2 linked regions of the Tamandua tetradactyla genome follow. The protein of the gene in region 1 binds, or shares a complex with, the protein of each later gene. Links are inferred from orthologs where the notes say so. Each region holds a gene or a part of one and is shown on either strand. Other genes may lie near its edges. The genes, in order: EIF3I and EIF3F.

Region 1 (16,843 bases):
CTATGGCGGGCAGCAGTCCAGCGGCCAAGAAGGTAGTGGTGTACAGGAATGGGGACCCCTTCTACGCAGGCCACCAACTGGTGGTGACTCAGCGCCGCTTTCGCACTCTGGAGGCCTTGCTCTGTGAGGTGACGTTGGCCGTGCAGGCTCCACTGGCTGTGCGTGCCCTCTACACACCCTGTCATGGCCACCTCGTCACTGACCTGGCAGACCTGCAGAATGGAGGGTGGTATGTGGCTGCTGGCTTTGAACCATTCCGCAAGCTCAAGTAAGTGGTGTGGGGCTGGTCAGACAAATAGCCTAGGGAGGGAAATAGCAGCAATAGCATTTATTCAGTACTTACTATGTATGCACCAGATATTTTATATATTTTTCACATTTAATACAACCCCATAAAGAGAGTGATTTTATCCTCAGTAGTTAGAAGGGAAGACAATGAAGTTAAGTAACCTAAGAGTACACAAGTAATAAATAATTGAGCTTTTGTTCAAATTGAAATCTGTCCAGTACTGATGTTTATGCCTGTGACAGCCAGGACCAATTTGTGGGAAGGAAATGTTTTCCCTGCCCACTCTCCCAGAAACTCTGGATGGGATCTGCTACCACCACCACCAAATACTCTAGGTGTAGGTGTCACCTCTTCCTTGCTGTGCGCAGGCATCTTGCACTCCTCTTAGGCTGGGATCATGGCAGGATCAGGCTGTGCCTTTTAAAATGGAAGAATTTGACCATGTGAGCTTCCAACTCAGATCTGGCTTCCAGGTCCTACTCTTCATTCTCAGCTGAAATTGCTTTCTTTAGTGCAAAGAGCAAAGGGTCGGGAGCTAGAAAGACTTAGAATCTGGGCTCTGTAACCTACTTCTTGTGTGACTGGTGTCTCATCCAAAATGGGGATAAAACCACCTACCTCATGAATAAGAAAATTCCTGTGATATAGCAGAAGTCTATGAGTCTTTCTCAACCCTTTGATTGTATGCTTTGTATCTAAGATTCCAGTCTAGATTCCTAGCCTCACCAGGGCCCCAAGGAAGACAGGTTCATATGCCAGCATCTGTTTCTGGACTGAGATGACAGAGGCTATTCCACTGGTGTGGAGGGATACTGGTGTCTTGAGTCCCAGTCCCACACTTGAACAGCTGCATGGCTATTGAGGCCCAGAACCCCCAAGATGACCTATGACCTATCTGTTCTTTCAGCTATTTAACCCCTGGAGGGAAGGATCCAGGTGGGAAGAGCAGCCGACTACCAGTGAGTTCTGAGGAAGGCTGTCACCCAGCTCCTCTGTCTTCCCCCCCTTCCTGGGATTGTCCCCAGTTGGTCAGGGTAGTCAGGGCCCTGGGAACAGCAGGACTGACCAGTTCCCTGGTGGGCATTCCCTTGCCCACTCTGGAGCCAGCTGTTATCTTTCCTGTGGGACAGAATTCCTTGCTTCTTACCAAGCCTTTTACCTTATCCCCAGGCTGTAGTCCCCAAAAGAAACAGAAGACCATTCATTCAATATGGAGGTGGGTAGGAAGTGAATTGACTTAGGGGAAGTAGAAGCACCCTTTGGTGAAAGGTGTGACTAGTCCTCATCCCTACTTACCAGCCCCCGCCCCCCACCACAGTGTGGTTCCTTCCTCCTTCAACCCACCCACCTTGGATTGATTCACCTAACGAGAGGCACCAACTCTCTTGACCTTGGGAACTGACTTGGATTTCAGGGTCCTCCAGTGACTCACCACCTGTGTGATGGGGCCCTTGGAAGGTGGCTGCCTGCAGGTGCCCCCTGCTATATCCAGTGAGTTCTCTGGTCAGGGAGCAGGGATATTTGTTTTAGTAAGACCAAGAAAATGGGGGTGAGTTTGCCCTAGGAGCCTCTGGTCACTGGGTGGGAATGTGAAAAGTCCAAAATGCTTGATGGGTGCAAATGGACCAATGCAGTGATCTCCTAGCCCCTGTGCCATCCTTTTTCCTCTTATACCCTGGGAGTCCTGGGGCCATGGATAAACAGACCCTAGGGACCCTCCCCCCTAACCAGGCTGCTTTTGTCTCAGTGTGTTCAGGAATGGGGATCTGTTAAGCCCCCCATTTAGCCTGAAGCTATCCTGGGCTGCCAGCCAGGACTGGGAAATAGTGTTGAAGCACCTGACTGAAAAGGCCAAGTTGCCCAGTGGGGCTGTACGCAAGTGAGTATGGGGACTGGGGAGGTCCAAAGGTCCCACAGGGAAGCGTCCTCACAGGTTTGGGCCGTCCCCCGAGGATGAAATGGCAAAAGGAAAGCATGCTGTCCCAAATGGCACTTCCCTCTACACCAGGGTAAAGCCCTCCGGCCTAGCCCTTGGAATCAGAGCCAAGCCTTGGTGACTGGCCTTGATGCCCAGAGGGCCAGCACCCAGAGGGTACCTAGGAATAGCTGGACCCACCCCTTCAGTCTGCTGAATATGATGAGGCATCTTGTCCACTGGCCCTTGTCCCACTCTCTTTTCTCTCCTAGACTCTTCACCTTGGAGGGGTTCCCGCTGTCAGCAGGGGAAGCTCTGGTGAGTGGCTGTTACTATGTGGCTGTTGGAGAGGATGAGTTTAAGGCCCTGCCCTATCTGGAGCTGCTGGTGCCCAACCCCTCACTGCCCAGGGGCTGCTGGTATGTCTGCATGAAGCTGAGGGGTACCAGGTTGGAGCAGAGGAAGGCAGCCTCTGATCTGTGTGCTCTCAGAATCATGTCTTCCTCTTCTTTCATTGCAGGCATTCCCAGGCCCTGAAGTCTATTTGCCACAGGCAGGAAGTAGGTGATGTGGGGGCTCTGGGGGTGGGACAAGGGGAGCAACTAGCTGAGTCCTCCAGCTCAAGCTCTGACTTTATATCACTGCATCTTCTCAATAATCTTGTGGAACAGATTATCCCCATATTCCAGAGGAAGAAACCAACTCAAAAATGTGAAGTGATTGTTACTTAGGATAACAGTTATTGAGTGTCTGAGAATCTGGTCTGAGAGCCAGCTCATCAAGGCCATATGAAGGTCTTCAGGCCTCTGAGTTGCTGGACCAATTCCTTCTTGCCAGGCTGGATGCTAGGAAAAAACTGGCATATCTGCAATGGCAGGCTCCAAGGAAGCTTATTGGCACCACATCTGATCCCAGGCCTGAGCCCTCCTAAAAAATGAGCCAGTGAGCAGGAGGGAGAAATGGGCGGGTGGTGGCAGCTTCCTCCAGCATTTCTAAGTGCCAGGCATCAGCTGTTCTGCCTCTCAATATGGTAGCCTGATGGGAAGAGTGAGCAGGAAAGGAGGATGCAGGCATCACTGCTCCCAAATTCCCAGAGGTGTCAGAGGCACTTTGAAGGAGGTCGAGATTGGGTAAGAGGGAAGGTAAGAACAGCCAGTACCCATGGCCCAAGCCCAGTGTCCCTCTATAGGCTCGTGGCCACAGAGCACAGGCTACCCAACCCTCTACAAAGGAGCCGAGCCGAGTTGAGCCATCTGCCTTCTATGCCAGGCCCCAGCAGCCAAGAAGCAAGTTTCCTGCTCTCTCATTTCTATCAGGTGAGGGGCCCCTGGGGCCGGCCCAGGCCCTTCTCAGCTATACTCTGATGTGACATGGGACAATCACTGCTGTTGTGGGGGAGATTGATGGGGGTGGCATCCTGGGGACAGCTGACTCTGACCTCAGAACTGTCTCTGACTCCATCTTCATATCCAGTCCTTTGCCTCTTCACAGGGACTTGGGGCATATGACAAGAAGCACATGGAGAGGAAAATGCTTAACTCAAAGGGTTAAAACTTCAGGCAAAATTTGGAAGGGATGGGGATGTGGGCCAAAGACCCTCCTCTAAACATCCCTCCCATCTTGAGGTAGTGAGAAGTGTGAAGAAAGGCTCAGAGGAGGGGAAGGGGTTGGCACAGAAGGTCAAGGGGAAGAAGGCTGGGGGCCCCTTAGCCTGGACATCAGCTGATGCTGCCTTCCTTATTAGGAGACAAGGAAGTCTCTGAGGCTCCCCATCTAAGGACAAAGACAGCAGGGGCCCAGGAAGCAGCTGATGAAGAACACACCTGGACAGAGAGACCCTTGGATCAGGTGGGCTGCGGTTCAAGGCAGTATGTTGGGATGGGAGGAGTTTTGAGCTGGAAACTGGGGGCCCTGGACTCCAGGAACAGTTATTCCCCTTTATAACTCTCCCAACATCTCAGAGTCCGACTTGTTACATGAGGGGACAGATCCTGATTTCTCAAAGTCTCTTCCTTTCCTGGGGCCAAGGAACTCCCTGCTGAGGGCTGGAGCTGGCCAGCGGATGCTAAGAGTTCCATTCCATATATCTCCAGAGGTCAGCACACATACTGAAAGAGGCACTGTTCCTGGGAAACGCTCCACCTGGAGCTGGAGCAGCATCAGTCCCTGCTCCATCATCTTGAAAACCAGCAATTCCAACCAGGACCTGAGGACCAGTACTCTGCAGCCACCTTTTGTCCTCAGCCTCCAGAAGCCTGTTTCCAAGGAGCCTGTCTCTTAGCTCACAGGTTAGCCCATGGCCTTCTCAAACCTTCCCCACTGTTCTGCATTTAAGCCCACAACCCAGTCTCCCCTTCTTCTCTGAGCAGAACAGTCCTGACTGCGAGGCTACTTCCTTTTGGGGTTCTCTGGCCAGAGAAAGGAAAGCAGACTGAGATTGAGGGAGAGGTTACAAACTTGGAAGTGGGCTTCCACAATAAAATAATACTAACCTTTGTCTGTTTACCACAGATTTATTGAAGGCTACTACTCGCTAGGTATTATGCTGTGTGCTGCAGTTGGACAGTGCCAGGGCTCACAGTTGTCTACCCATTTGAAAGAGGCTGGGTATTTGAGGATTCTCACTCACTTCATGGGTGGGACATGTAAGGTTGGTCAACAGTTCGTCTCCCCTAACCTGCCACTTCTGGTGGACCTTCTTCCCCTCAATTCCACCCCTTCAGTCAGCTAAGTCACTCTGTGCCTTTGAGGCCTCCTGTTTGCATTTCTGGCTCAAAGACTGCAGGTGGAGTCCTGAGGTTCATGGAGCCCACTGCTGTGATGGCCCAGATCAGGCCATAGTAATGGTGGCTAGGCTGGGGGCTGAGATGAACGCTGGACCAGAAAGGTTGCTGAGGGTAAGGTGAAGTTTCTTGTGCTAAATCTCAGCAGCTGAACAGCACCTGAAGGTTACAAAACCCTTTCACTCAGGTTCTCTTATTGTGATCCACGAGGTAGGTGTTATCCCCATATAAGATGAGGAAGCTTAGGTTCAGAGAGGGGAAGTGCTAGATGCGTTTGCTCACTGCCCTGCATGTCATGGCCTAGGAGCTTCCTGGAGTCAGCAGACCTGAAGGGTGGGCTCTTCTCACTCAAAGGGTAGTCAGTTGTCCCTGGGTCTTGCTCACTGAGCTTGTGATGCAGAGTGTAATTCCTGTCACGGTGAGCACCATGCCTGTGACTGCTCCTGGGATAAGGGGCAGAAATAGAGGGCCTGAGCCCAGCCATGCCAAAAGAAGCTGGTCCAGGGCTTAAGGCAGAGCTCAGGTAGGGTCTTCTTCCAACTCCCCACCCCCAATCTCTAACTCTAACCCAGACTGTCCAGGGGAAGGAAACTCTGTTGGCCACAAGGAAGCATGAGAGAACTGGAGGATGGACAGCGAGAGGAAGGGGCAGGATGAGGAAGCCTTCTCCCCACCCATCCATGGGAGAGAGGCTCTGGATAGTAACTAACCCAGTTATATCAAGGCCTAAATAGCTACTTGCAGCAATCAAGTGGCCCAACTTACGTTTTCCACCAATATCTTCTCCAAGGATCTTCCCGACAATCAGCGTGAAGACAATGGCCAGAGAGTTACACACGGGCACTGCTAGTGTCAGATCTGGGTAGGTAGAATGAAGAATCCCTGAGATGTAAAAAAATGCCTTTCTAGGCACAAAACAGTTTCATTTCATCAAGACGGCCTTTCATTTTTTAGGTGAAGTCACGGCAAAATATAGGACTCACCCAGATCTTCTGACTCCAAGCTTAGTGCTCCCTCAGGATTCTGAGATGAAGACCTGATCCCCAAGGTCTGGGACCATCCTGGTTTGATGGCAGACAGACAGATACCCAAAGTCCAAGGCATGCAGTGGAATGAGTGCAATAAGGCCAAACACAGCCACCGTTTATTAGGCTCAAACTATATGCTGGGTGCTCTGTATGCCTTATCTCACTTAATTCTTACAACCACACTGCAGGGAAAGGATTATCACTAATTTGCATAGGGAAAGGAAACAAAGTTCAAAGAAGTCATATACACTGAGGCAAATTGAGGATTTAAACCAAGCTAAACCAAGGTATGCCTTAGTCCAAAGCCTGTGTCCTTATTGAACTGTATGGATATGGACAAATCAAAACACCTGGGGAAGCACACTTTTGTTTCAGTTTCAGCCCACGCATGGGCCTTAATGGAGTTGAAGAAAAGACAAAAAAGGTGTTACAAGTGGAAGGCCAGGTACCTATTCAAGACAGCCCCAGAAAGTAGGCCTCATCTTAGTCCAGGATCTGTTTCTTAGTTTTGAAGCTTCAAAGAACTGATTCCTGATTAACAAACTCGAAAAAGACTAGTAGATAAATCAGAGGCTGAGTTACTTGTTTTACAACAAGACTCATATTACTAGGCAGACTAGGATACTCAGGTTGGCTTCTCACTACATTTCTGCCCGGCATTCTAGGCCTTACCTGCTTTAGGGAGAAGAGGAACTTGGAACTCATCTGCCCTCATTCCCTGTCCAGCCCCTGGTGTGGCTGGCATTATCCATCCATAAAACTGCCCCAACACTCCTACTTAGAGCTGCTTTCTTAAGTTTGCATACCTTACAAGACATACTGTGCTTGCTAGACTCTGGAGTTGGGGGAGAGGAACAGCAGGGTGCCATGGAAGAGCCAGGGCATTGGAGAGAGGCAGACATAGGTTTCCCTATGTAATACTGGTTGGGTCATTCAAATACCGAGCCTCAGTTTCCTCACATGTAAAATAGTGATAGCAAGATATCATTTCCTTTGTAGGGTTGTTGTAAATGAAATAGAGTAACATATGGTTCCTGGCCCATGGAGATGCTTCGTTAGTAATGACCACGGTTCTGAGTATTAGAAAGTATGTTGTTAAAGGATGGAGGTAGAGCAGGTGATGAAGATTCCAGGATCATAAAACTGCCATTTGCTCACAACTTGGTAAATGGTTAATCACAGTCAGCTCACCAGAGGATTCAGCATTCTTGGACAGCAGGGAGTGTATTAGGCCAGAGATTTTCAAACTTTATTTAAAGGGAATCTTATGAGAAGCCGAAAATATAAAACATATGAAAGCAGAGTGACTCTAGCTGAATCTTAGATGACAGATCTAGAGGCTGGCTATCCCCTTGCCCTCCCATGGCCTTCGATGGGTTCCCCAGAGCTACAGGGAGCAAAGACTTCCCTCAATCACATAGAGGCTTGAATGAGACTCCTGGACAGGCGAAATCACAGCAGGGAACTTCTCATAGCAAAGTTCAAGACTATAAACTTATAAATTAATATATGGCTTCAGAGCCATGTGCACTGTTATGCTATGGGACTTAAGAAAGATGAAATCAGTTGCCCCAAATTTTGTAACCTCATCCCCTGAATGCAGAAAATCATGTCTGTTTCACAGTCATGATGGGAATTAAACAAGTTTATATTTATTGAGCTCCTACTGTGTGCCAAATGCTTCTCATACCTTATTGACTTTGAATCGTCACCATGCTATCAAGCAGACTATATAAAACCAAGGCTCTTGCTCAAGGCCATTCCAGTAGCACACAGTGGAAGTAAAAGTGTCAAAGCCAGTACTTGGTACAGCAAGATGAACCTTTCTACTCTGCAGCAGCTCAAGATGGCCAGGCTTCAAACCAACTGTAATGCTGGCAGCATATACATAACCAGCCCACTGTGCCATACTGCTCAGAGAACAGGGGGCAAAGAGAGAACCAGAGAGAGTAGACTCTCCCTCACTGATGGAAACAAAGTATTTCAAGGTCCCTCCCCAAAATGACTCAAGCTAGAGACCTACCTGTTGATGCCAAGGTGAAGTAGTAAAGAAGGGAGCCACACTGGTTGAGGAGAAAAGGCCTCAGGTACTGGAAACGGGAAAGTTGCATTCAGTGTGGTTGCTAGGCTGAGTAGCACTTCTCACTTTAAGCTTCTAGCATCTGTTTGCCTTTTCTTAGAGGGAGAAGTGGTTAGAAGGGCCTCGGAAGCAACAAAGTCCACTGAGAAGGACTTTTTCAGGGCAAAGAGGGAAACAGTTACTGACTGAACTCCATCCCTTTATCCTGTAATGCCCTCTCCCTCAGTTCTGTTAGTTCCCATCCTCTCCATACTGTTCACCCCTTCCAGGAAGCCTTCCAAGTCCTCTAGCCCCATCCTCCCACTTCTGAAGACACAAAGCATTTTATCTGTACCTCTCTCATAATCTTTAGCCCTGAAAAGTAGTTTTGTTCATGTTTTGGTCTTTCCCACTAGCCTAGATTGGCAGCCTTGGAGTCAGAAGTAGTGATCCATACCCCTCCCCATCTTCCCTGCAGGGGGCCAATTTGAGCTCCAAGCCCTCCCTCTGGAAAGGTCTGTTGGAGAGATCACAACAAAGGCAGCCACGGACTGAGTACTTCTTATGTACTAGATTCAGTGCTAAGTGCTCTGTGTACCTCACCTCACTTAATCCTCACAACTGCCTGGTAAGGTGGTTACTATTATTATCCCTATTTTACAGATAATGAAATATAGGCTCACAGAGGACAAGTGACACATACAAATGCATCTAGCATGTAATTTTGACTCAGACCTGTCTGACTCCAGAGACCATTCTGAGCGCAACTTCCGAGAGAGGGGCCCTTCACGGACATACCTCAGTATTGAGGAAGAGGGTCTTCATCTCCTGCAGCAATTGCTGGGCCCAGGAGCGTTCATGAACCCGCTGCAGGCCGGCGGAGGCCCGCTTCAGCAGCGGCTGAGTGCCACCCCACAGAGCAGCCACCAGCACCAGAGCCAGCACCTGCCCTGGATGAAGGTTCAAGTCACCCTGCTCTGCCCTCCCCGGCCGGCCGCCTGCCCGCCGGGCCTGGACCTCCCTTGGCCTCCCATCCCGGCCCGGCCCTCTCCTGGCCCACCCTTATCCCCGCCCAGCCTGGCCACATCCTTCCTTCTCGCATTCCTACGCCTCGGTTGCGACTGGCGGGTACGTCAGCTCTGGGGAGGCCGGAGACGTCAGTCCAGGGGCCTGGGTCCCGGAGTTATAGCAGGGGAAAGGACTGGGCAGTGGAGGTGGGTAGGAAATATACTCCGGTTGGAGTCGGGAAGTCAATGGAGGGACGGAGCGAGCTACCCACCTAGAGACGCCGCCATGGCAACGCCTCTGTCTTCTACTTCCGGGAAGGAGGGGCGGAGACCTATAGTCCGGAAGTGGCGTTATAACTCTTCCGGTCCTGCTCACTTTGTTCCTTTTCTCGCGTTGCCGCTGTGATGGTGAGCCCCCCTAAAGGGGGGTTGTTGGAGTGGACGTCCCGGGCTGGGACAGGGGCCCGATTGCGGGCCCTGACACTCCCGTCCTGTTTCCACAGAAGCCGATCCTGCTGCAGGGCCATGAGCGGTCCATTACGCAGATCAAGTACAACCGCGAGGGAGACCTACTCTTCACCGTGGCCAAGGACCCTGTGAGCGTGGCTCGGAAGGCGGGCGGGACCATGCGGAGGGGGTCTGTGACGGGACGAGTCCACTCGGCCAAGGCTGTGGGGTGGACTAGCCAGTTTTGCCGCGAGTGGGGAAACAAAAGAGTGCATCGTTCTGAGAATTAGGGAGAGACTATCTCGGGCGTAGGTGGGTGAGAGCAGTCTGCCCGAGAAGATGGGAGATTAACTTCATCGTTGGTGGAAGGAGGAGTGTAGCCGGCGGTGAGTGGAGGGGCTGGAGAAGCAAGAATTGTGGGAGGGGAGCAAGGGTCAGCTCGGGTTTTAGAGAACAGAAGCATTATACCAGGATAAGGGACAGACTATCCCTAGTAGGGAAAAGTTGATCCTTGGGTAACGAGGGAAACAGGATTTAATAGCGGTGTCCCTAGTCATCCCTCTTTCTTTCACTCCTATTTCAGTCAGTTCTTCTCTGCCCCAGCCTGCACCCTCTGCGTGCCAACAGTCCCACATGGTACTACTCTTCCAAACACCTCCATACGGAGAAAGTTAACTATGGTGTTTAAAAGCGGGAGCTCTGAAGCCAAACCGACGTGATTTGAATCTTGACTCCATCTATTAGCAATGTGGCTTTGAGCATGCCATTTGACCTTTCTAAACTTCAGGTTTCCATTTGTATAAAATATTGGTATCATAGGACATCTTTTAAGGGATTATCTTTAGGATCTTAGCACACTACCTGGAGTATGTGAGTGCTTAATTAATGTCAGTCATTTATATTTTAAACTTCTTAGACATTTTACTGGAGCTTCTGAACTACCCTTTGAAGGAGGCATTTTACAGATGGGAAAACAATTTCAGAGGGGAGAAGGGCTACATTTGAGATAGTACGGTGAGATAGTGGCAGAGCAGGTACTGAATCTCCAGTTTCCCTCCCACCAACTCTCCTATTTGGACAGAACACCAAAGCAAGTGTTTTTCTGCTTTGAAGCTTAGCTTGGACTTTTACTCTTCCAGGGGTTTGGGAAGGGGAAGGCAAGAGTCTAAGGGGAGGGCTGGGACAGTAGCAAAAAAGGATGCTTTTGCAAGCCTCCTGAACCTCTGCTTCTTACCTGAAGGGAGGAGAATACAGGACATAGTCTTTTTACTAGCTCCCTGCTATTTCCCAAGAGTTGAGCAGGAGAGAGCAGAATCTGGCTTGGGCTAGAGGCTGCTGAGATTCCTGGGGCAAAATAGGAGATTGTTCTGCTCTGCTTGGAATGTGTAGTATCCTGTCATTTGATTCCTCCAGATTGTCAATGTATGGTATTCCGTGAACGGTGAGAGGCTGGGCACCTACACAGGCCACACTGGAGCTGTGTGGTGTGTGGATGCTGATTGTATCCTTGTTTTGCTCTGACTCTGTGGTCCCACATTCTGCCAGCAATGGAAAGGCTGCTAAAGGGGGGTTTGGGGATCCTCCCTCTTGTTTCCTCTTCCCTGATTGGAAAAATATTTGGGACAAGTTCCAGGTCTGAATGGGGAGGTGAGAATTCTCTGGGGTAGGCGGGAATAGAAAGGCTGAAAGGGATGTGATTCAGTTGGCATTGTAAACGACAAGGGTTCAGGTGAACTTGGCCATGTTTCTTAACACTCTTTTCAGGGGACACCAAACATGTCCTTACCGGTTCTGCTGACAATAGCTGTCGTCTCTGGGATTGTGAAACAGGTAAGCCTTGGTTGCTAACTTTTTCAGCAAACATTTAAGCGAACAGATTCTGGGGAAAAGGAGATAAATCCAGAGACTTTCCCAGTCTAGGGAACAATGAGAGATAGATGAGGAAATAAGAACTGCAGAAGAGAAAAGAGACATCCTTGTAAGATAAAAGCCATGTTAGAGGAAGTATAGAGTACTGTGGGAGGACAGGGACAACTGACTACCTGGAGTCACATAGAAACAGCTGGGAAAGGCTTCCTAAGGTAAATGTCATGAGCTGGGGCTTGGAGGATGAGAAAAGTTGTCACTTTGGCACATGCAAAAAATAAGACTTGGTGAGCCATCTGATTTGGCTGGAGTTCCTGCTTCTTGGAGGGTGAGATAGATGGACAGTGGAGAAGATGAGGCTGCTGAGGTAGGCCAGGGCCAGAACAGAACTTGATGGCCACACTCAGGAGCTTAGCCTTGCTTTGTAGGCCTTGGCAGCCTCAGAGGTCTCTGAGCAGTGGAAAATGGTAGTCCATATACTTTTAGCTAGTTCAGTTAGCAGTGGGGAGCATGCATTGGAAGGGCTGAGACTGAACACAGGGAAGGCTATTAAGCTGTTCTATTTAGTAAATATTTACTGGGCACCCAATTATATACCAGGTTTATGGGTACTGGAGACATGCAGAGAAGTTAAACCAGGTCTTTGCTGTGGAAGAATGCTGTCTGAAAAATCCACCCTGAGCCGTGCCATATTAGTTAGATATCTGAAGAGGGATTACAGGGAAGAAGTTAAAAGATTTTAGCCAAAGTGACAGTGAGGAAGAGGAGAGGTCTGGGTTGGAGTTACTGGAGCAGAAGAAGCCATGGGAGTGAGGAGCAGGTATAGGAAATGTACTCCCGGCCATGGCAGTGGGGAGGTGGTAACCCAGACATTGCCTATCCCCAGGGAAGCAGCTGGCCCTACTCAAGACCAACTCAGCTGTCCGGACCTGTGGCTTTGACTTTGGGGGCAACATTATCATGTTCTCCACGGACAAGCAGATGGGCTACCAGTGCTTTGTGAGCTTCTTTGACCTACGGGATCCGAGCCAGATCGGTGAGAGCTGAAGCTAGGGCTGGGGTTGAGATGGAAGGTATGGGTCCACAGCCCAGGGCCTAACATATGCTGCTCCACACAGACAGCAATGAGCCCTACATGAAGATCCCTTGTAACGACTCCAAGATCACCAGTGCTGTCTGGGGGCCCCTGGGGGAATGCATCATTGCAGGCCACGAGAGCGGAGAGCTCAACCAGTACAGTGCCAAGGTAAGGAGCCATGTAGGGCTTGAGCCCACCAGAATGATTCTTTACAGAAGCAAGGACAGTGCAGTGGTTAAGAGTAAGGGCTGGATTCAAACATAGATTTTACCACTTTCTAGCTGCATGGTCTGGGGCAAGTTACATTACTTCCCTGAGCCTGTTTAAAGATCAAATGACATTAAGTGTTTAAATAATTTGTCACAGGGTATTCAGAACATACTAGTAATGATCACAGATAAGCATTTTCCTGCCACCACTGAGTGCCTGGTTCTGTGCAGGGCTTTAAGCTCACAGATATGAATCAGACATGATCTTTGCCCCAGGGGGAGATGTACTCTTAAACAAGTAGCTTCTGATTCGGATGCCTGAATTTCTGGAGCTCCCAGAACATAATAACTTAGGTTTCTCAGCAAGTACTGATTGTGGCCCAAGAGGAGGCAAGCCTACCCTCAGGAACGCTAGGGAAACCAAGGACAAAGACAAGAAGGAAATAGTGGAGCTGATCTGTGCCCCTGATAGGACTGACTGCAAAGCTCTTGTTCATTTCTTGAAATGTGGAGTATGGTATCTCCCTACCATGTGACCCAAATTGTCTGAGGAGACAAAAGTACCTTCTTCTCACAAAATAGGTAAAAATAGTTAAGGAAAGGAAATTTTTGTGAGGGCCTGCTATGTGTGAGGTGCAGTGCTCAGGCCTCGTAGACCTCAAAGTGTCTACAGAGCATATGCCAGGTGCCTGCCACGACAAAGTCAAATAAGACACAGCTTCAGTATCCTGGGAGGTGGGGTTTTATTGGTCTTCTTTTGAGATAGAGGTGGCAGAGAAGTACTTTCAAAGACCGTACAGCTGATTCCAAAACTCTGCTCTTTATACTACCCAGTCTAGCAGGTTGTTTAGTGGCAAGGGAAGTCAGGAAGTAAAATGGCCTTTTGAGGAAACCTAGAAATGATGGACACACAACAGTCCCCTGTGGAGCGACCAGGACTGAGCCCTTGGCTGGGAAGGGGGTATGAGCTTAGGTTCCTTGCCTCTTTCTAAATGGGTGGTCTCCAGAAAGTCATGCCTCTTCTCTGAACCTTGGTTTCTTTCTCTTAAAATTGGGATGGTAATACCCACCTCAGGGGATCTTTGAGGATTAATTGAAGGGGTGTATTGTTAAGTCTTTGACACAGTGCTTGGCAAATAGTGGCTGTTCAGTAAATATTTGTTGAAAGAAGGAATAAATGGAAACTGCTCTACCATTATAAGTAATGATGGTTCATTAATGGATCCATAGATTTGTGACCATGAATATGTTTTCCCTGATACTTATAGATGTCCTAGCAGTGTTTGTGAAACTCACACTTGTGGGCCATGCTAGATGTAGTCTTGCCCTGGCGGAGGGAGTAAATATTGATTCAGGGGATACGTAGGCAGTCACCCCAGACCCCCTCACCCCTTGATGGGACAAGAAGTAGAATAAAAGAGCCTTGGCTGAACAGCAGGGCAGGTGAGTGTTGGGGCTGGTTAGAACCTCCCTTTTTCCCCTTCCCCAGTCTGGAGAGGTATTGGTGAATGTTAAGGAGCACTCTCGGCAGATCAATGACATCCAGTTATCCAGGGACATGACCATGTTTGTCACTGCATCCAAGGACAACACAGCCAAGGTGAGACTGGGGAAGGGGTTGGGGGGCTACTCCCACTCTCCTACTGCACAGCTCCAACCTGCCTGACTTCCCTCAAGAAGGCACCTTTTCCAGATTTCTGCCCTGCCTTCTCTTTCCAGCTCTTTGACTCCACAACCCTTGATCATCAGAAGACTTTCCGGACAGAACGTCCCGTCAACTCAGCTGCCCTCTCTCCCAACTATGACCACGTAAGGAAACTCCACCCACACATCTTGCTTAAGCTTCAGAAAACTTCCTGGATCTAGACATTTGTCTGGCAGTTAAGCTACAAACCCTGAGGGGACTGGTGTCAGGCAGAAGAGGTTCCCAGAGCAGTGGCAGAGCTGAAGGATTGAGTAGCAGGTGGGCAGGAGGTGGCTGGAGTGTCTCTTAGTCCCGTTCACTTCCTGTCCTTTGACATGGGAGATGTTAAAGCTGATGGAGGGAAATAAACAGTAAAAGGGCGTAGTTGCCCTTTCTTTGGGCCTATCTACAGTTTCTTCTTTCCTTCAGGTGGTACTTGGTGGTGGTCAGGAAGCCATGGATGTAACCACAACCTCCACCAGGATTGGCAAGTTTGAGGCCAGGTAAGAGAAGAGGGAGTGCTTTCAAATTGAAACCTAACACAAACCATATGAATGAACAAACTTCCCTTATTTCATTAGCTGCTAAGAAATGCAGCCAAACCTGTGGCTGTTCTGTAATAAGTGTATAATGTACCAGATTCGAGCATGAACTCTCAGCTTTCCTCTGAGGCCGCAGACACATCATTATAATTCTCTGTGCCCAGATTTCCTTGTCTGTAAAATGGGGGCAGTGATAATACTAATACTTACCTCATAAAATTACACAGATTAAATAAACAGGTGAGTACTTACTATGCTCTTAGAGCACTGCCTAACACATAGTAAGCACTCAGTAAGTGTTATCCAGGCAGGCATTTGGGTCTAGTTTTCCCCTGGTTTCATTTTATTTTGTTCACATACATTTCCCCTTGTCTTGATTTTCCCATTTTACTTTTTGTTACATAGTGTGCATTTGAGGAGCACTGTGTTTTAGAAGAGATGGAAAATGAATTAAGTGTGTCCCTTCCCTTCACCCTCTCTCCCCCAGATTCTTCCACTTGGCCTTCGAAGAAGAGTTTGGAAGAGTCAAGGGTCACTTTGGACCTATCAACAGTGTTGCCTTCCATCCTGATGGCAAGAGGTAGGGCCCTAGCTAAGGGAGCTGAGCTCAGCTGGGCCATGTCTCTGCCCCATACCCCATTCTCTGCCCCTTTCCCACGCTTTGTCCCACAGACCTGCCTCTCCCAGAGCAGGCGTCTGACTGATCCCTGGCCGTCTCTTTCTAGCTATAGCAGCGGCGGAGAAGATGGCTATGTTCGCATCCACTACTTCGATCCACAGTACTTTGAGTTTGAATTTGAAGCTTAAGAAACTGGATCTCCATCCACTCCAGGGAGGCTGTTCACAGAAAGTTTTGGAGTCTGAGAAATAAACTAGTCTGAAAATAAATGGTTTCTGGTCAGATATTTTGGGGGACTATTTCACCATGTTCCCTTTCACCGACACCCGAGCAAGCTGATGCCAATCATGGATACCTTTATTATTTGGACCTTCTCCTTATACTTTGGACACGTCAAAGCTGCAACTTCAGTATTGTGAACTAGGTTGGGTTGCAGGCACCCTCACCCAGGGTCCAAAGTTGTTAAGGGGCCTGGAGAGGTCTCAGGAATGTCTCAGTTACTATCCAAGGAGCCAGAGCTTAGGGTTGGGGCTCAGAGGTTGAGGCTGTTGGCTGAGAGTCCCCTGTCTTCTCCCTTTCTGTCACTATTTGCCACACCTTCCCCCCTGCCACTTCTGAAGGCTCAGGAGGGTGGGTCCAGCGCAGAAACAGGCCTGAAGAGGAGGAGGACAGGTAAGGAAATTGAACAGAGGGGATATAACTCCCTATGGGAAAAGGGGGATGGGAGTGGGGCAGTCACCTTGCCATAGTCGCAGGCTCTGGGGCTCCACTGAGGGCCAGATGGCCAAGGGATTGGGGACATAGAGTGGGTTCCGAAGTTTCCGTTGTTCTTTCGGCTGGTTTAACCCCGACCACAGGGAGTGTGTTCGAGTCCTCACTTCACACAGGCATCTGCAGGGAGTGGAGAAATGAGTTTCTGGCCCCAGCTACACCCCCTGGGATTCTGGGGTTAGAGCCCCCTGGGGCAGCAATAACCTCTCATTTCTCCTACAGATTTTACTGCCAGTCAGATCTTCTGGCAACCAGAATAGAGCAGGAGCAAGACAAGATCCTCGTTCTTCAACTGTTACGTTTAGAGGGAGAAACCAATTTAGCTTTGCCCAAAACTGTCAAGGAAGTTTCATCAGGAACATGATTTGATATCTGGGCTGGGTCTATGAGCAGAAATTCACGAGGTGTACAAAGACAAGGAAACACTTAAGAGGGGAACCACTCAGGCAAAAGCAAAGTGAAAAACAGCCCAATGCGAATATTGATAAGGTCTGGACCAAAGACTTTTAGAAAAACATGAAAGTGGAGTTAGAGCAGTGAGGAGGC
Region 2 (15,727 bases), on another chromosome or scaffold:
CCCTGAAAAAACGAGGGTACAGGAAGGTGACTCACCTCCAATGCGTTCAGTGTCATAATATGCGTATCTCACTGTCAGAGGTGTGAACATCACCCCCATGGTCCTCCCAGGAACGCCCATTAAAGTGCTGGGGAGAGAGCAGGTAAAGGTCAACAGATAGCCTCGGGAAAGGGTTTCCATGTCTAGTCTGGGCTGGGAAAGGAGTTACAGCAAGTGTGGCCTCCAAGGTTCTCAGACAGGAAGGTTGGGACCATGTGAACTCGAGAGGTCTCACTGGAGCAAAAGTCACTTTCTCCCCTTACCTCATTCCATACATTAAACCCCTTAGCCTGTGAGAAGGGACTCAGCTTTCAACACGGCCTGATATCTTTTAAACCTGTACAATCTCTGCGAGGAGGAGGAAAGCACAAAGGATTTTGCCATGGAGATGACTATCTATACGCCCAACCTCATGGAAAGAAGAGACTCGGTCATGGCTTTTCTAGGACTGAGGACTGTTTATCAGTATCTTAACTTACATACTGAAAAAACATATTGATTCCTGCCCAGCAACACCAGATTGGGTGCTATAAGTAATCTCACTGAACAGGACTATCTTTACAAAGTTAACAATATATTTTCAACTGGATCTTGGAATCTAAAATATTTGGAAAAGATGAGAAAAGAAATCAGGCCATGGCCAGAGATTAGAGGTACAGCCAACTGGACCATAAGGACTTGGCAACCATCCTCTTTGTCTTACTGCATAGTAGCTGTCTATACCAGTGTCAGAAACAGAAACAGCACACTGTTAAACAGGGTAAGAGATGTACCAACAAATGCTTTCATTCTAACCAAAGATATGATCCTCCAAATTCTTTAGCATGGTACCAGCGCTTTTCTCAACATCCTCCACCAATAGGAGTTTTAACTGCAAGCTCAATGTGTCATCACTATAATGTTAATGTCACTCAATTCTGTGTTAATAGATATATTCAAAATAAGGACAATCTTTCTTAAATCTGTACTACTCTGAGTACTGTGTTCACTTCCAGGGTAAGGACAGATGAAAAGGTTAACTCAGGAAAGCCATGAATGTGGTGAAGGACCACAAAAAGAATATCATATGAGGACTGGCTGTAAGAATTGTGGCTATTTAGCTTTGAAATTGTAGATATTGGTTAACACTAATGCCTATTATTTGTTACCAGCTCTACTCTAGACTTTTACTAAATGACCTTGATTTTTCAGTCTCTAAACTTTTTCCCAAGAGAAACATGTTAGCTTCCTCAAATATCTAAAGGTCTGCCATTTGAAATTGGTTAACACTAATGAGTAGAAACCTAGGGTAGAACCGGGATCAGTGAATGGAAATTACAGGGAAAGATTTTGTTTCCAAGTGAAACTTTCCAATGATGATTACTGAGAGACAAAGAAAAGGCTTCTTCAGAAATCAGTGAGTTATGCACTGAAGGAATTAAACTTGGTTGGGGGGAGGCAACTGTTATCCATGCATGGTGTGGGAGCTAAGCTAGATAGCCTTTTATGCCCTTGTGGCCCAAGATTCTGTGGTCACCTGACATAGGCCTTGATGCTCATGCGGCCATTCTGGAGGCTCGTGTCCACAGTGAGGTGAATGGGGTTGGGGGCCTCCCGGCTGTAGTACTCATGAATCAGCACGGAGTGCTCTGTGATGTCATGGCCTGTAGCGTACCTGGAAAATGGAACATAATCACGGAGGTCAACAAATGGACTTAGGTCTAAACATGATATCAATTTCAAACTGGTGGTGGTGGTGGTGTCTCTGGGTACCTGATACCCTATGATAGCAACACTCTATACACTAAAAATAATAGTGCTATAAACGCTACTATTTTCTACTCACACTGAAAACTACACTGGATCAGAAACTGATTTAGAGCTTTTAAAAAATTCTGACTCTTTGGAAAGGCAACAAGACTTGCTCAGTAAAAGTTGTAATTCAAAGTGTTTTTGGTCGCACAAGATCAGAACTGCCAGCAAAACACACTGAATTTACAGTTCCTTGAGATGAGATATTCCAATACTGTGTCTCTAAAAGCAGAAGTATAATAATACCTAGTCTGATGGCAGGAGACCTTGGCAATTACCAGGAGACTTTCCATTTTCCCCTTTCCTGACTTACCAGCCCAGGATGAGCTCATTTGGAGAAACTTTCTTGTGTAATTCATACATGTTCTTAGCAAATTCCATGTCAACAGCCACCTAAGAAGGAAGAGAGGAAAGGAAGCTAAGATGCCAGAGGTCCTTAGAGAAAATGGATAAAAAGCACAAAAGGTCACCCTCAACAAAAATAAAGCCCTGGAAATAAACCCAAATGCAACAAAGCTTCTCGGGCTGTAGGAGTTCAAGTTATGAGCACAACATAGTATGCAGAAAGAGGCCTTACGGGGAATCCAGCAGATGAACAGCCAGAGACTGGGGGTGGGGGAAGATGGTCCCACTCAAAGTTCCACTCACCTCATCTTCTGACTCATTGTGTGGCACTGAAAAGCAATTGGTGACTTCCACAGAGTGTTTGTCTACAGTTCCTATGAAAGAAAGAATCATCCATGCATTATATAATCCCAAGGCTCCAAACAGTTTCCAACCACTCTGGAAATGCTTTCAGAGGTTTTTTTAGTAAATATCAAACTGAACTTGCTAGTTCCAAATTAAGCCATGGGTATCAGTGGAATCAGAATTCTTCAGAAAACTAAAATCCTGCAGTAACCTCCAACTCTTTCCTTTATCCACCACGAAATGGAATATATTTTTCTTCTACAAGGTCTCCTTTGCCTATTACTTTCTGTTACCAGCTCTACTCCAGACTTTTACTAAATGACCTTGATTTTTCAGTCTCCAAACTTTTCCCTGTAATTTCACCTACAGAGCTATCTGGGAGAATTTTATGGTGTGCATAAAACTATCCATACAGAAGCCCACTTCTATCCTAGTTCGCCTATATTTTCATTCTGTACTCTTACTCCAGGTCAGGCCCTGTCACCCATTTTTATAATAAAGTTTTATTGGAATGCAGCTATGCCCAATCGTTTATGTATTGTCTATGGCTGTTTTCCTACTCCAAAGGCAGAGCTGAATATTTTCAACAGAGACTTATTGCCCACAAAGCTTAAAATACTTACTGTCTGGCCTTTTACAGTACAAGTTTGTCCTGCAGTAGGTGATTTCAATCATTTTTATGGTTTCTATATCCCAATGACACAATTTCTGAAACTACATATTTACCCACATCTCTCTTTTACACTCCAGATCTACATATTAAACTTTTGACTTGACAGATGCACCTGGATACTTGATGAGCATTGCAAAAAGTTCCAAACTGAATCAACCCTTACATTTCCCCCCATCTCTTCCACACCCAATCAGAGACCTAGAAGTCATCCTTGAAACTTTCTTTTTAATCCCTCATTTCTGATTCATACCATGTCCTATCAACTCACTCACTCCTCTCCATCCCCACTTCCAAATTATTAAAATAGCTTCTATCTGGTGTCCACAAATAACCTATTTCTCTGTTATCCACTCTACAAACAGCAGGCAGAATCATCAATTCCTATTTAGTCTTAGCTGAAATGCCACAGTTAAGGTGTTCTTCCCCCACGTACCCCCAAACCTAATGAGGGTGCCATTTTGTCTTTCCATAATTTCCTAACCTTCTTCACAGCACTTTGCACACTTGTAATTATTTAATATCTCTTATGACTCTACACCTCACTAGCTTCATTTCCTGTCGTATATCTTTTCTTCTATATTCCTCTAATGCTGAACCACTCAGCTAGTGGAACTTTTTATACTTCCTGCATCTGCTTTAATGCCCAGCTCAAATGTCATCTTTTTTGTGATGCTTTCCCCAAACTTCCAAAATAGTTTTATGGACTTCCACGTCACTTTGAATACCTTTCTACTGGAACATTTATCAAATTATATTCTAATTACTTATATATAATCACATTATATTCTAATTACTTATATATAAGAGTATCTCCATCTCGTGTATAAGGTTTATTTTCTCAATTTTAAATTCTAAGTATCTAACAGTTTCTGGTATTTAAGAAGCATAGGTGACTTCATTTAACGAAATGAAATATGTTTCATGCATTATTTACAACCTACCTGAGAAAACCGTAAGTTTCTAGCAGGCAGAATCTATGCGTCAATTATCAATAAGCATTATTCCTGTAACACATAGTACTATACCTATAATCCCAGGTTGAAATAGGATCTGAGAATCTAGATTACAGCTGGTCTAATTAGGGTCACTGTAATATATGAGACACTAAGCATAAATCTTGGGTGGAGAACTATTCGCTATTGAGTTCTGAAAATTTTACAATATAGCTAAAAGAGTAAGTATCTGTCAAGTGTCAAGTCAGTGATGGAAAAATCATTTGTTATAGAGCAGGGTACAGTTCCAGAATGCTATGAGACTCAGTGGGATTACTACTGAGATGAGGGTGGGGTATAGGATGGAGGATTGATACTGGACATTTTCCCTAGGAACCTCGAAGATGGGTGGCACTCAAAATAAAGAAATATAAAAAAGAAAAAGAAAAAAGATGAGGCAGAACAGGGAAGACATTTGTGGCAAATAGAATGCAGAAGCTTAGATTAAGAAAAGTCATGGCAATGTTTGACAGGTAACGGATCAAGTAGTTCCTGTAAATACAATCGTTGTACCCTCAAAGAGAGAGAGAGAGAAAAAGAGAATGCGTATAGGCCTGACCAGGTAGAAGACAGTAACTAACTGCTGCTTCATATCTAATGTGTGCCAGCACTGTTAGGTGACTTCTGTAATAATTTAGTTCTCAGAAAGACTAAGTCTGAAGTAGCCACTGAAAAAAGCTAGGTAATTTTCCCCAAGGCACATGGCTAATATGTGGAGTCTAGTTATAAATTTTGTCCTATTTGTAATACACCAATTATCTTCTAGAGTGTAAGGACATGTCTAAGAGTAAGAAAAAGAAATGATCCATGAGATGGGGGTGTGGACACACAAAGATGTCTAAAACGCACAACTAGATGGAGTGGAAATGTATCTGAGGGGCCCAGAGAAAAGGATTTATTATTAACAATCCCTCTCTGCCCTTTGGTGCTTTTCGCTTCTTTAAAACTACTTTAAAGAAAAATACCTATTCCCCAAATAAAAGTGAAACATGGACAGGGAAAAGATTCTTCTTCAGTTTTAAGATTCAAGCCGAACATCCCACAAATAATAAAACTGTCTGTGTCCAAATGGAGGATTAAAGGCAGCACCGGGGATACAGGGTCTACCACTTCAGGAACTAGTATTATTGGAAATTTAGGAACACAGGATCAAGCTCAGAAGTTTAGGAAAGCAGAATAGTATAAAATCTTAAACGGATTCCAGCCAAATTGGTTAACTTGTTGGGACAGATCTCTTTTTAAAGACGTCCAGCTCTTTTGCCAACTCCTTTGTATACACCTAGAAGATAGAGACATTTACCGGAAGGCGGAAGAACGCGGTCACTACGCTCAGGGTTCTAGTTCCAAGCTAGCCGCTTCCTAGAATCGGCAACTGAACTCATTTCTGGTAGACTGGAGCTAATCAGACCTGAAGTGAAATACTGTTGGACAGTTAAAATGTAAGCCACCTGCCCCACAATATTTATTCAGTAAGTGATAACTACTCATTATTTGTCGCCCAAAGTGACAGCAAGCCGGCAGGAAAGAGAGTCAAACTCTCTGGGAAGATAAGTAGCAGAAAAAAGGTGGGTCGGAGAAGCAAAAGGTCAAGTCATTGTAGTGAGAAGAGGGGGAGGCAAGAGGCCAGGGAATGAAGAAGGCAGGACATCAGGGATAAAAGGGTTAATTGAGTGGGGGCGAGATAAATAGGCGGTGGTAGACAAGAGAAATTGAATTCAATCTCAATTTCCTCTCATCACTCACCCAGCAAGGTCCCGATAACTCGGGCCGCGCCCTCGTTGCGACGCTCGTAGCTGTCCACGATGGAGGCCAAAATGACCGGGTGCAGCCTGACCACGCGGCCGCCAGGGAAAGGCCCCGGGAGGGCCGGACCAGGCAACGCGGGCGCGGCAGTCTGCGCCGGGGCTTGCGTTGAGCCCGGGGTCTGCCCCGTGGCTGTGGTCGTAGCTGCTGCCGCCGCCGGATCGGATGATGGGGCCGGGACCGATGCTGGAGCTAGAGCCGGAGCCGCAGCGGGAGCCGAAGCTGCAGATGGGGTTGGTGCCGGGGTAGTAGCCGGCGCCGGAGGTGGAGTGGCAGGCGGAGAACTCCCGGGTGCAGCCGGCGTGGCCATCTTGTTGAGAAAAGAGACAGGAAAGGACTGCGTTGTAGAAAATTAGGACCTCGATAGGCTGAATATGGATCACGTGAGCGAGATCTTTGTGCCTATTGGCTCCTGATGCTGTCCACGAAGCACTAAAATTTCCTGGTGTTTATGATTTCTTCCGGAGTGCGTGCTCATTTGCTTTCCGTCCGATGCGCACGCGGTGAGAACTAAGCTAAATAGTTCCGAAGAAACTTGGGAGAGCGCTGGGTCAAGAGAAACAACTGAGTCTGCGTAGGTGTCGCCAGATGGCGCCAGAGCGCGACCGAATGCTCACCATTTGTATTTTCACGAATTTAAATGGAAAATGGGTATATAAGTGGCTTCATTCAAAATTCATGTGCCTAATATGAGGCAGGTGCTCTTTTATGCGCTTGGGCTATGTAAGTGAACAGAACAAAGATCCTTGTCCTTGAAGGGCTTACATTCGAGTGGGAAAAGACAATAAGTAAACCATATAATGTTAGAAGGTGACAAGTCCTGTGAAAGGAAAAAGTAGAGGAAGGTGAGGGCAAATCAGGATTGGAGAGGGCAGGGTAAATTATAATGAGAATATGAGATTCGAATGAAGACTTGAAGGAGGTGAGGGAGGTAACCAGTATCTAACGAAGGAGCCATCCAGGTAGAGGAAACAGCTGGGGCAAAGGCGGTAAGCAGGCGTGGGCAGGGCGTGTATAAGGAGGCCATTTGTTGTTAAGGTCATGGGGGACAGCCGCAGGAGGTGAACCTCTGAGCAGAGGGTAGAGGCAGATCATTAAGGACTTGGTGGGCCACAGTAAATACCTAGACTTTTAGTCTGAGTGTGGTGGGGAACCATGGCAGGGTTTTGAGCAAGGAAGGGTTATGCATGATCAGTCTTAGTTTTAGAAGGATCACTCTGGCTACTTCGATAAGGATATACTGAGGGAACAGAGGAAGGTGGGCGAGGAGGAGCAGGGAGACCTGTTTGGAGGCTACTAGGTAACTAGGCGATGATAGCGTCTGGGACTAGGGCAGTGTAAATGGCGAGATGTGGCCATCTTCTGCATATATTTTGAGGATGGAGGGTGGCTTCAACAGAATTTTCTGAGAAATTTTACGTGAGGTGTGAAAGTTTTTGTGCTGAGGAACTAGTAGGAAGAAGTCACCATCAGTTGAAATAGTGAGAGCTATGAATGGAGTAAAAATTAATCCTGAGTTCATTTTTGGATGTGTCACCGTTGAGATGTCCATTAGATGTCCAAGTCAACGCTTTGGGAGAAGATTAAATGAGATAATGCTTCATAAAGCTCTTAGCACATCCCTGATATACAGTACTTATTATTAGGGAGTTCCTGTTATCATTACTATATGATGGAAGGAGCTCTGATCCTTGCTGTGTGACTTTGGGAAATCTATGATTTTTTTCTGAGCCTTGGTTTCCTTCCTGGTATAATGGGAATAATAACATCTGCCTGAAAGGAATCCTATCACCTACCTTAATAAAGTTAGGGGAACTGGCAAGGTGAGTGGGTGAGGATGGACTTCTTAGTCCTGACTATTCTGGCCAGGACCTGCTTTCATCTTGGAGTTCCCTTTCAATATTAGGATTGCTACAATCCCCCGTCAGTGCTTTGGTTCTTTAATTCCCTCAAATACAGGTGGAACGGCTGGCCTCTGGTTCCGACAGTACTAAAATGTCGAAGATAAAGATGAAATAGAATGAAATAAAACCAGGCAAGCTTCCTCATAAAGTCACATTTTCGCTTTACTTAAACTTTGGAAAGGTTCTCTAGTTGTCCTTGTATACTTAGGTCTGCTGTCTGGTAAATTGCTGGGGCTCAACCTCCAAATACGCTTATTTAATTGGTGTGGACTAGACTAGTGACTAGATAAATGGTGCCTAAACTTTGTCTCTTATTACAGTCATCTGTGGAACTTGATAACCATACACAGGTCCAGGCTCTTACTCCAAGAGATTGGGCTCCTGTGGGCTATATAGCTCTCCAGGTGGTTCTGATATACATTGAATGTGAGATTCATTTGATAGAGGTAGGGGAAACTGTTAACGATGGTTCTCAAATTATAATATGCCTAAAATGCAAATTCTTATTCAGTAAGTCTGGGGTGGAACCCAAGTTTCTGCATTTCTAACACTCAGTACTTTGTACAGCAAGGAGTGTAGCCAAGGGGGAGATATTGCTGACCTTAACTATGGCAATTTCAGCTGTGATTTAGAAGAGTATGACTAGTTTGAAAGATATTTTGGAGGCAAGATTGACCGAATTTGATATCTGATTGAATAGAGAGAAGGAGTCAAAAGTTTCCGTGCCTGGGAGACATGGAAAATGATGGGGTCATTATCCTAAATGGGAAAAACGTGGGAAGAGTAGGTTTATTGGAGAAAATCCCTTCCTTCAGAAAATATTGACTTAGCACCCACTATATCAGGACTTAGACCAAAATTAGGGGTATATAGGTTAATTCCACATGGTTCTTGCCATCAAAGAGCTCCTACTTTAGCAGATAATGCAAGAATGAAGTTAATGTTGAACATTTAAGTTTGGAGATGACGTTGGGATGAAACTTCTGATGAAAATATTTGGGTGGAAACTGGTAATGTAGGATCAGAATTTAGGAGAAAGCAGTGTTGATGACATAGACTTGTACATGTGGCAGACTGTGTTTTCCAGAAATGATCACTACACTATTTGCAATGCCAGTTACTTTTCCAAATCTGAATACTCTTCCTTCTGAGAGGTGGTGTCTTTGTTCCCTTCCTGTTACTGGTTGAATTGCATCCTCCAAAAAGCTATGTTGAACTCCTATTCCCCAGTACCTCAAAATGTGACATTATCTAGAAATAAGGTCATTACAAATGGAATTAGGCAAGTTAAAATGCGGTGATATTGGAGTAGGGTGGGCCTTTAATTCTTATGACTGATGCATTTATAAGACAGACATACTACAGGGGGAATGGCATGTGACAACTGAGGCAGAGATTTAAGCCCATGAATTGCCAGCAAAGCACCAGAAGCCAGGAAGAGTTAAGGAAGGATTCTCCACCTCACATTTCAGACTTCTAGCCCCCAGAACTGTGAGGCAATACATTTTTCTTCTTTTAAGTCAACCAGTTTGTAGTACCTTGTTACAGTTGTTCTAAGAAACTAAGACACTTCTGTTGAATTTGGGCAGGGGCTTGTGACGGGTTTTCACCAAGAGAGTAAGGTGAAAGTGATTTTATATGACTCAAACTAGGTTTAAAAAAGGTTACAGCTTCCACCTGGTTTCCTCTCTTGGGACATTCGTTTTAGGAACTCAGTCACCATGCTGTGAGGAAGCCCAAGCCATATGAAGAGGCTTCCTGTAGGAGCTCTGGGTGACAGCACCAGCTGAGATGTTATCCAAGAGCCAGCATCAACCACCACAATTATGCCTGAGTGAGCCTTCCAATTCCCAGTCCCAGCTTGAAGCTGCCCCAGCAGATATGGATCAGAACAGAGACAAACGATCTCTGCTCAGCCTCCAAACTGTAGATTCATGAGCAAAATATATGTGTGTCATTGTTTTAAGCCACTAAGTTTGGGGATGACTTGTTGCACAGCCATACTATTTGAAGCAGTATGTCATCCGCTTAGAAATGAGTTAAAATCATGGAATTGGTAAGCCTTCCAAGAGGGAGATTCTAGGAGGAAAAGTAAAAGACTCCTAGAACATGCTAACATTTAAATAGCTAAGGAGAACCACTCCACACACACTAGGGTGATTATTAGTTTAAAACATGAAAAATAAGTGTGAGGATGTGGAGAAATTGGAACCTTTGTGCATTGCTGATGGGAATGCGCAGCCACCATGGAGGACAGTTTGGTGGTTCCTCAAAAGAGTTAAATTTAGATTTACTACATGACCTGGAAATTTCATTTCTTGGTATATACCCCAAAGCATTTAAAGCAGGTACTTAAACAGATACTTTACAGTAGTGTTCATGTAACATTATCTATGACAGGCAAAAGGTGGAAACAATGCAAGTGTCTATCCACAGATGAATGGATGAATAAAACGTTGTATACACATACAATGGAATATTATTTAGCCATAAAAGGAATTATCTATGGATACATGCTACAATATGGATGAACCATGAAAACATTATGCTAAGTGAAATAACTGAGACACAAAGGACAAATACTGAATGATTCCACTTCTATGGCATGTCAAGAATAAGCAAATTCATAGAGACAGAAAACAGATCAGAGGTTACCAGGGACTGGGTGGAGGGAGACTGGGGGGTTATTATTTAAAGGGTATGGAGTTTCTCTTTTGGGTGATGACAAAGTTTGGTAATGGATGATGACGATAGTAGCAAAATATTGTAAATATGATTAATGTCAATGAATTGTATACTTAAAAATAATTAAAATGGTTTGGGTTTAACAAACAAGTATGAGTGCTGAATCATTATACTGATGTTTCTTTTAGCCTCCAGTACCTTACAGCAGCTAAGAAATAAAAACCTAAAATTGTGGAATTAGTGGCCCATACCAAACTCCTAAATCTGTTCTACAACTAATTGCTGTGATGTACTTAGAAATTTATTGCTTTTATGAATGTATGTTAGTTAAAGAGAAGGAGGAGTATAAAAGTGAAGATAGGATTTAACAAATGAATATGAATCATTATATTGATATTTCTGTTGGTCTCCAGTGTCTTGGAGCAGCTAGAAGAAAAAATGAAAAATCGTGGAACTGTAACCCATACCAAACTTTATTTATTGCTTTTTGTATATATGTTATATTTCATAATAAAAATGATTAAAATGGAAAATTTTATGGTTTACTTATTACCCCAATAAAAACAAAAAGAGTTAAGGAAAGGCAAGGACTGTCTGAGAGATGATAGGAAAGATGAGAAATTAAGAGTCTCCCTGAAGTCAAGGGAAGGACAAGATTCAAGATGAAGCAGGTGTTCAACGAGGTCAACTATCAGAGGACTTGACTAGCGGCCCTTGGATTTGATGATCCAGAGGCTTTAGCAACACTGGTAGAGCAGTGTCAGTGAAATTAGGAGGTAGAGTGGGCACAGAAACCAGAATTCAGGTGTGAGAGAACAATCAGTTTGAAGTGAAGGTATTAACTGCAGGCTATTCTTTCAAGGAAGCTGCCTGGGAAGGAAAGGGGACATTTAAAGCAGTAGCCAGGGAAAAGGGAGTATTGAAAGGGGGGTAATTTAGGATGGAAGTGTTTTGAGTATATTTTAAATTGAGGTTAAGGATCTAGAGGAGAAAGACTGAGCATACGAGTGAGAGCGAGAAGAAACATCTAATGAAATAAGGCCAGAAGGAGGGCCTGGATCAAGAAACCTAAATGAGAGGGGTGGTCTTGCACAGGATGAGGGGCATGCTGGAAAAGCTGCCCTGGGCTGTGGCCCCCTTACAGGGTCAAATGGGGTCTGCCTGAGCCAAGGCTGATCTCCTGAGGTCAACCTATGGGAAGAAGGTCAGAGGAAAGAGCTACCCAAATGAGAAGGGATTGCTGCCCTAAACGGACCTTGCACAGCTCCTGTCCATGTGTTGCTCTGACTTGGATGTGGATACTTTACTTTCAAAAAGCTCAGCTTTGTCTTTATATGAATAACCTAAAGCCCTTTCTCTGGAAGGGAAGGAGAGGGGGATGGATGAAGAATAGGACAAATTTTGAATTGTGCAGAGCAGGAAGTTTCAGGAGCTCAGGTCAGATGACACCACTTACCCTTGGTAAGTGGAGCCATGGTAATCTGCTGAGCATGGCAATGCAGGGGCAGAGTTTAGACTTGAGTAGAATGGGCCATGTTGGGAAGAGGGCTTGAGAGTGAGCCATCAAGAGCTGTCAGAAGCACTGATCAATTATGGGAAGGCCCAGATGAGTCCAAGTTGTCTGAGATCCGACTGGCCAACCTTTGTGATTTTTTTTTTCTCTAGGCACAACAGCCTAGAGAGATTAGCCTAGGAGAGAGATTTTTCTTGTGGTCTTCCCAGGGAAGCTGATTGTTCAGGACAAGGGAATGCATACACACGAGATGCTCGCTTCGCAAAGGCTGACTGAGGGTTCCAGACAGGCTGCTGCACCCAGCAAAGAGAAACTCAGGCAGGGCCCTAGGTTCATCAGGGAAAGGGAAAAAGGTATGGGGAGGGAGAAAGTGGGCCATTCCCCTTGTAAATGGGAAGTGGCTTATGCAGGTATTATTCAGGGTTCCTGGCTGCTGTAGGGGATTTGCTCGATGGGCCTGCCTGAAAAAACCCAGGGTAACAACTACCAGGCTCCAACTAAAGGTGGGGCCTGTAGCTTGATAAATTCTTCTCACCTCCCCATCACTCACTCACTGAGGTGAAGGGAGCCCCAACTACAGCTCAAATTATAGGAGGACCACAAGGGGGGGGCCCCAGGCTCTCTAAACTTTTCAGCAAGTGAGACTTGGGACTAAGTTTCCCTCTTGCAGAGCTGGGCAGGAACCACATCTTAAAGCCCGCCCCTCCCCCCGCCCCCACCTCTTCTGAAGACTGTACCCAGCACAGGCAGGATGGAGGGCTCACTCCCAGAATTTTTCTCTGCCCACCACCAGCAGTTTTCAGGAAGCCATGAACCAAATACTTGGAGAATTTCTACTTCACTACAGAGGCAGGTTCCACTAGCCCTACTCCTCTCGTACACCACAGTTCAGCACAATTAAAGGCCCTGCCTGGAGGCACTTTCACACTGAGGTGATGAGAAGTGCTGTTGCACAGTCCAGCTTAACCTGACCTGTCTCTCTTTAGGCTCTTCAAGACCAGTCTCGTGCTTGCGCTGCTGGCTTGGGACTTCCTTCTCCTAGTTGGTTTACATCTAAATTCTTACACTTGCAGCTGGCCCTTCCTCACTCCCTGCTGTTTTGATGACTAGTGCAGCTTCCTTCTCTGATTTGCTAACTTCAGCCATCCAAGACTCTGCCTCTCCAGGCTCCCTAGCAGCAATGGGCCTGGCCAACTCCCTTGACTTTATGCCGAGGTAGGGTCTTGCCCCTTTGAGACGCTTTCCCAGTGAGGGAGCCAAGGACAATTGCATGCATGGAGGTGGTTCGACCTTTCTTCTCATTCCTGGAACCTGGTAGGTTGTGTACATGGTCCATAGTCATTAGTGATGTCTCTTTTGATACCCAATATCAATACTGGGGAATATTGGAGGATGGAGGGAATTTAGGACTCTTTCGCGTCACCTTTCCTCAACACAGGTGTATAGAATTGTACAAATTATACTTCTTGGTCCATGACACACTGCCTTCTTTGGTCAACTCATGAACTTCTTTTCATTCATTCATCCATTTATTTATTCATTCACTCATTCATTTAAAAAATAATATAATGAACAGAACCTGCTATCAAAACCAAGAATTAGAACACTATCAATAACTTACATCTAGTACTATGCTACAAAATGTTTAACAACCAGCTCTCTGAAGGGGAAGAAGGGGGTTGGCAGTCCTGGGTGTTAGTGTTTGCCAGTTTCCATAGTTGATTTCAAGCTACCAGTAGTTTAACCACTGGCTTTCAAAATTCCTGAAAATTTAACAATTGGAGTTGGCTCCTGCATCACTGCTTTACATTTACCTATGTCCTCCTTCAAATTTCACTGCCATACTGCTCACTCTCAGAAAAAACTACTCTTTGAATTTTGGGTTTATTATTTACTTGCTTAAAAATTATAGTTTTATTTCAAATATATATATATATATAATGTATAAAATTAAATTTAAAAATATATATACACATAGCTGGCTGTTTAATTCCATGCAATGGATTGGCTTAAACAAAGAGAATGTCTTGGCTCATGGTTTTAAGGCTTGAAGTCCAAAATCAAGGCGTCATCAAGGTGATGCTTTCCCCCAGAAGACTGTGGTGGTCTGGGGCTGGCTGCTGGGTCCTGGCCCTTGGCTTTTCTGTCATGTGGCGTGCACATGGTGGCCTCTCCTGGCTCCTCCTCCTTCCTGGTTCCAATGACTTCCAGCTTCTGGCTGCTCTGTGAGGCTTTCTCCTGTGATCCTACCTCTAAGGCTTTCATCAGTAGGATCCAGGTCCATCCTCACTGAGGTGGGCCACAACTTAACTGAAGCAGCCTCATGAAAAGGTCCTATTTACAATGGGCTCATACCCGCAGACTGGGATTAAATTTAAGAACCTGTTTTTCTGGGGTACATAGCTCCAAACTCCCACAGTCTGCCCTCTGAGCCTCCAAGAGTCATGCCAACTTTTGTTTCAAATATTGTGAAGCTATTTTATTAGGTTCTTCTATATACTTAAATTGTTGAAGTTTTGGATCTTTATAACTGTGTATTAAACATCTCTAACTCATGATGCTTTTTGTCTTAAAGTGAATTTTGATAATATAGCGCTACACTAGATTTCTTTTTTTTTTTTTTTTTTTTTTAAGGAAAGACAGAGAGAAGGAAGGAAGGATAGAAGGAAGGAAGGAAGGAAGAAAGGGAAACATTTTTAAACATTTTCTTGTTTTATTGTATTCTGTTTCTCCGTTTTTGTTACATGGGCTGGGGCCGGGAATCGAACCGAGGTCCTCCGGCATAGCAGGCAAGCACTTTGCCCGCTGAGCCACCGCGGCCCGCCCCACTAGATTTCTTTTGATTGGTATTTTCTCACATATCTCTTCCCTATCTTTTTACTTTCAATCTTTCTGCATCTCTATGCTGTAGGTATAGTCCTTGTAAACAACATATGGCCAGATAGTAAAGTAACCCAATCTGACTATCATGGTCAGGTTCATATGTCAATTTAGCCAGGTGGTGGTACCTGTTTGTCTAGTTAGGCAAGTGCTGGCCTGTCTTTTGCTATGAGGACATTTCGTAGAATTAAATCTTGATCATATCAGCTACAACCACAGCTGATTCCATTTGTAATCAGCCAAGGGGAGTGTCTTCTTTAATGAGTGATGCTTAATCTAATCACTGGAAGCCTTTTAAAGAGGATTCAGAAGAGACAGGCTCTCTTCCTGCTTTGGCTGGTGAGCCTCTCCTGTGGAACTTGTCCAGACCCTCCATCGGAATCATCAGCTTCACAGCCTACCCTACAGATTTTGGACTCTATGTTCCCATGGTTATGTGAGACATTTTTATAAATTTTATATTTATGAATATTTCCTGTTGATTCTGTTTCTCTTGAGAACCCTAATACAACTTGGTGCCAGGTTCTAGTTTGCTAGCTGCTGGAATGCAATATACTAGAAATGGAATGGCTTTTAAAGGGGAATTTAATAAGTTGCTAGTTTATAGTTCTAAGGCTGAGAAAATGTCCCAATTAAAACAAGTCTATAGAAATGTCCAATCTAAGGCATCTAGGGAAAGATACCTTAGTTCAAGAAGGCCGATGAAGTTCAGGTTCTCTCTCTCTAGTGAGAAGGTATATGGTAAACAGGGTCAGAG

The links.
Region 2: EIF3I (region 1) and EIF3F share a complex: the UniProt entries of both Homo sapiens proteins name them as parts of the eukaryotic translation initiation factor 3 (eIF-3) complex. The link is inferred for Tamandua tetradactyla from reciprocal best matches to the Homo sapiens genes EIF3I and EIF3F.

The regions. Positions count from the first base shown.
Region 1 is NC_135328.1:193,656,180-193,673,022, reverse strand, and holds EIF3I (eukaryotic translation initiation factor 3 subunit I), read left to right. Parts: upstream 1-8,797; 5' UTR 8,798-8,932; coding exon 8,933-9,202; intron 9,203-9,584; coding exon 9,585-9,677; intron 9,678-10,941; coding exon 10,942-11,029; intron 11,030-11,292; coding exon 11,293-11,358; intron 11,359-12,280; coding exon 12,281-12,430; intron 12,431-12,512; coding exon 12,513-12,640; intron 12,641-14,170; coding exon 14,171-14,281; intron 14,282-14,400; coding exon 14,401-14,490; intron 14,491-14,794; coding exon 14,795-14,868; intron 14,869-15,227; exon of another isoform or gene 15,228-15,394; coding exon 15,395-15,487; exon of another isoform or gene 15,488-15,632; coding exon 15,633-15,714; 3' UTR 15,715-15,779; coding exon of another isoform or gene 15,780-15,784; 3' UTR 15,785-15,795; downstream 15,796-16,843. Other genes in the region: DCDC2B (doublecortin domain-containing protein 2B), read left to right, coding at 3-268, 1,197-1,248, 1,704-1,780, 2,037-2,168, 2,477-2,623, 2,725-2,929, 3,394-3,520, 3,949-4,052 and 1 more; myotubularin-related protein 9-like, read right to left, coding at 16,046-16,179, 16,266-16,417. UniProt on the Homo sapiens protein: Component of the eukaryotic translation initiation factor 3 (eIF-3) complex, which is required for several steps in the initiation of protein synthesis.
Region 2 is NC_135334.1:82,113,521-82,129,247, reverse strand, and holds the start of EIF3F (eukaryotic translation initiation factor 3 subunit F), read right to left. Parts: upstream 6,335-15,727; 5' UTR 6,299-6,334; coding exon 5,929-6,298; intron 5,625-5,928; exon of another isoform or gene 5,545-5,624; intron 2,550-5,544; coding exon 2,479-2,549; intron 2,224-2,478; coding exon 2,144-2,223; intron 1,694-2,143; coding exon 1,556-1,693; intron 128-1,555; coding exon 36-127; intron 1-35. UniProt on the Homo sapiens protein: Component of the eukaryotic translation initiation factor 3 (eIF-3) complex, which is required for several steps in the initiation of protein synthesis.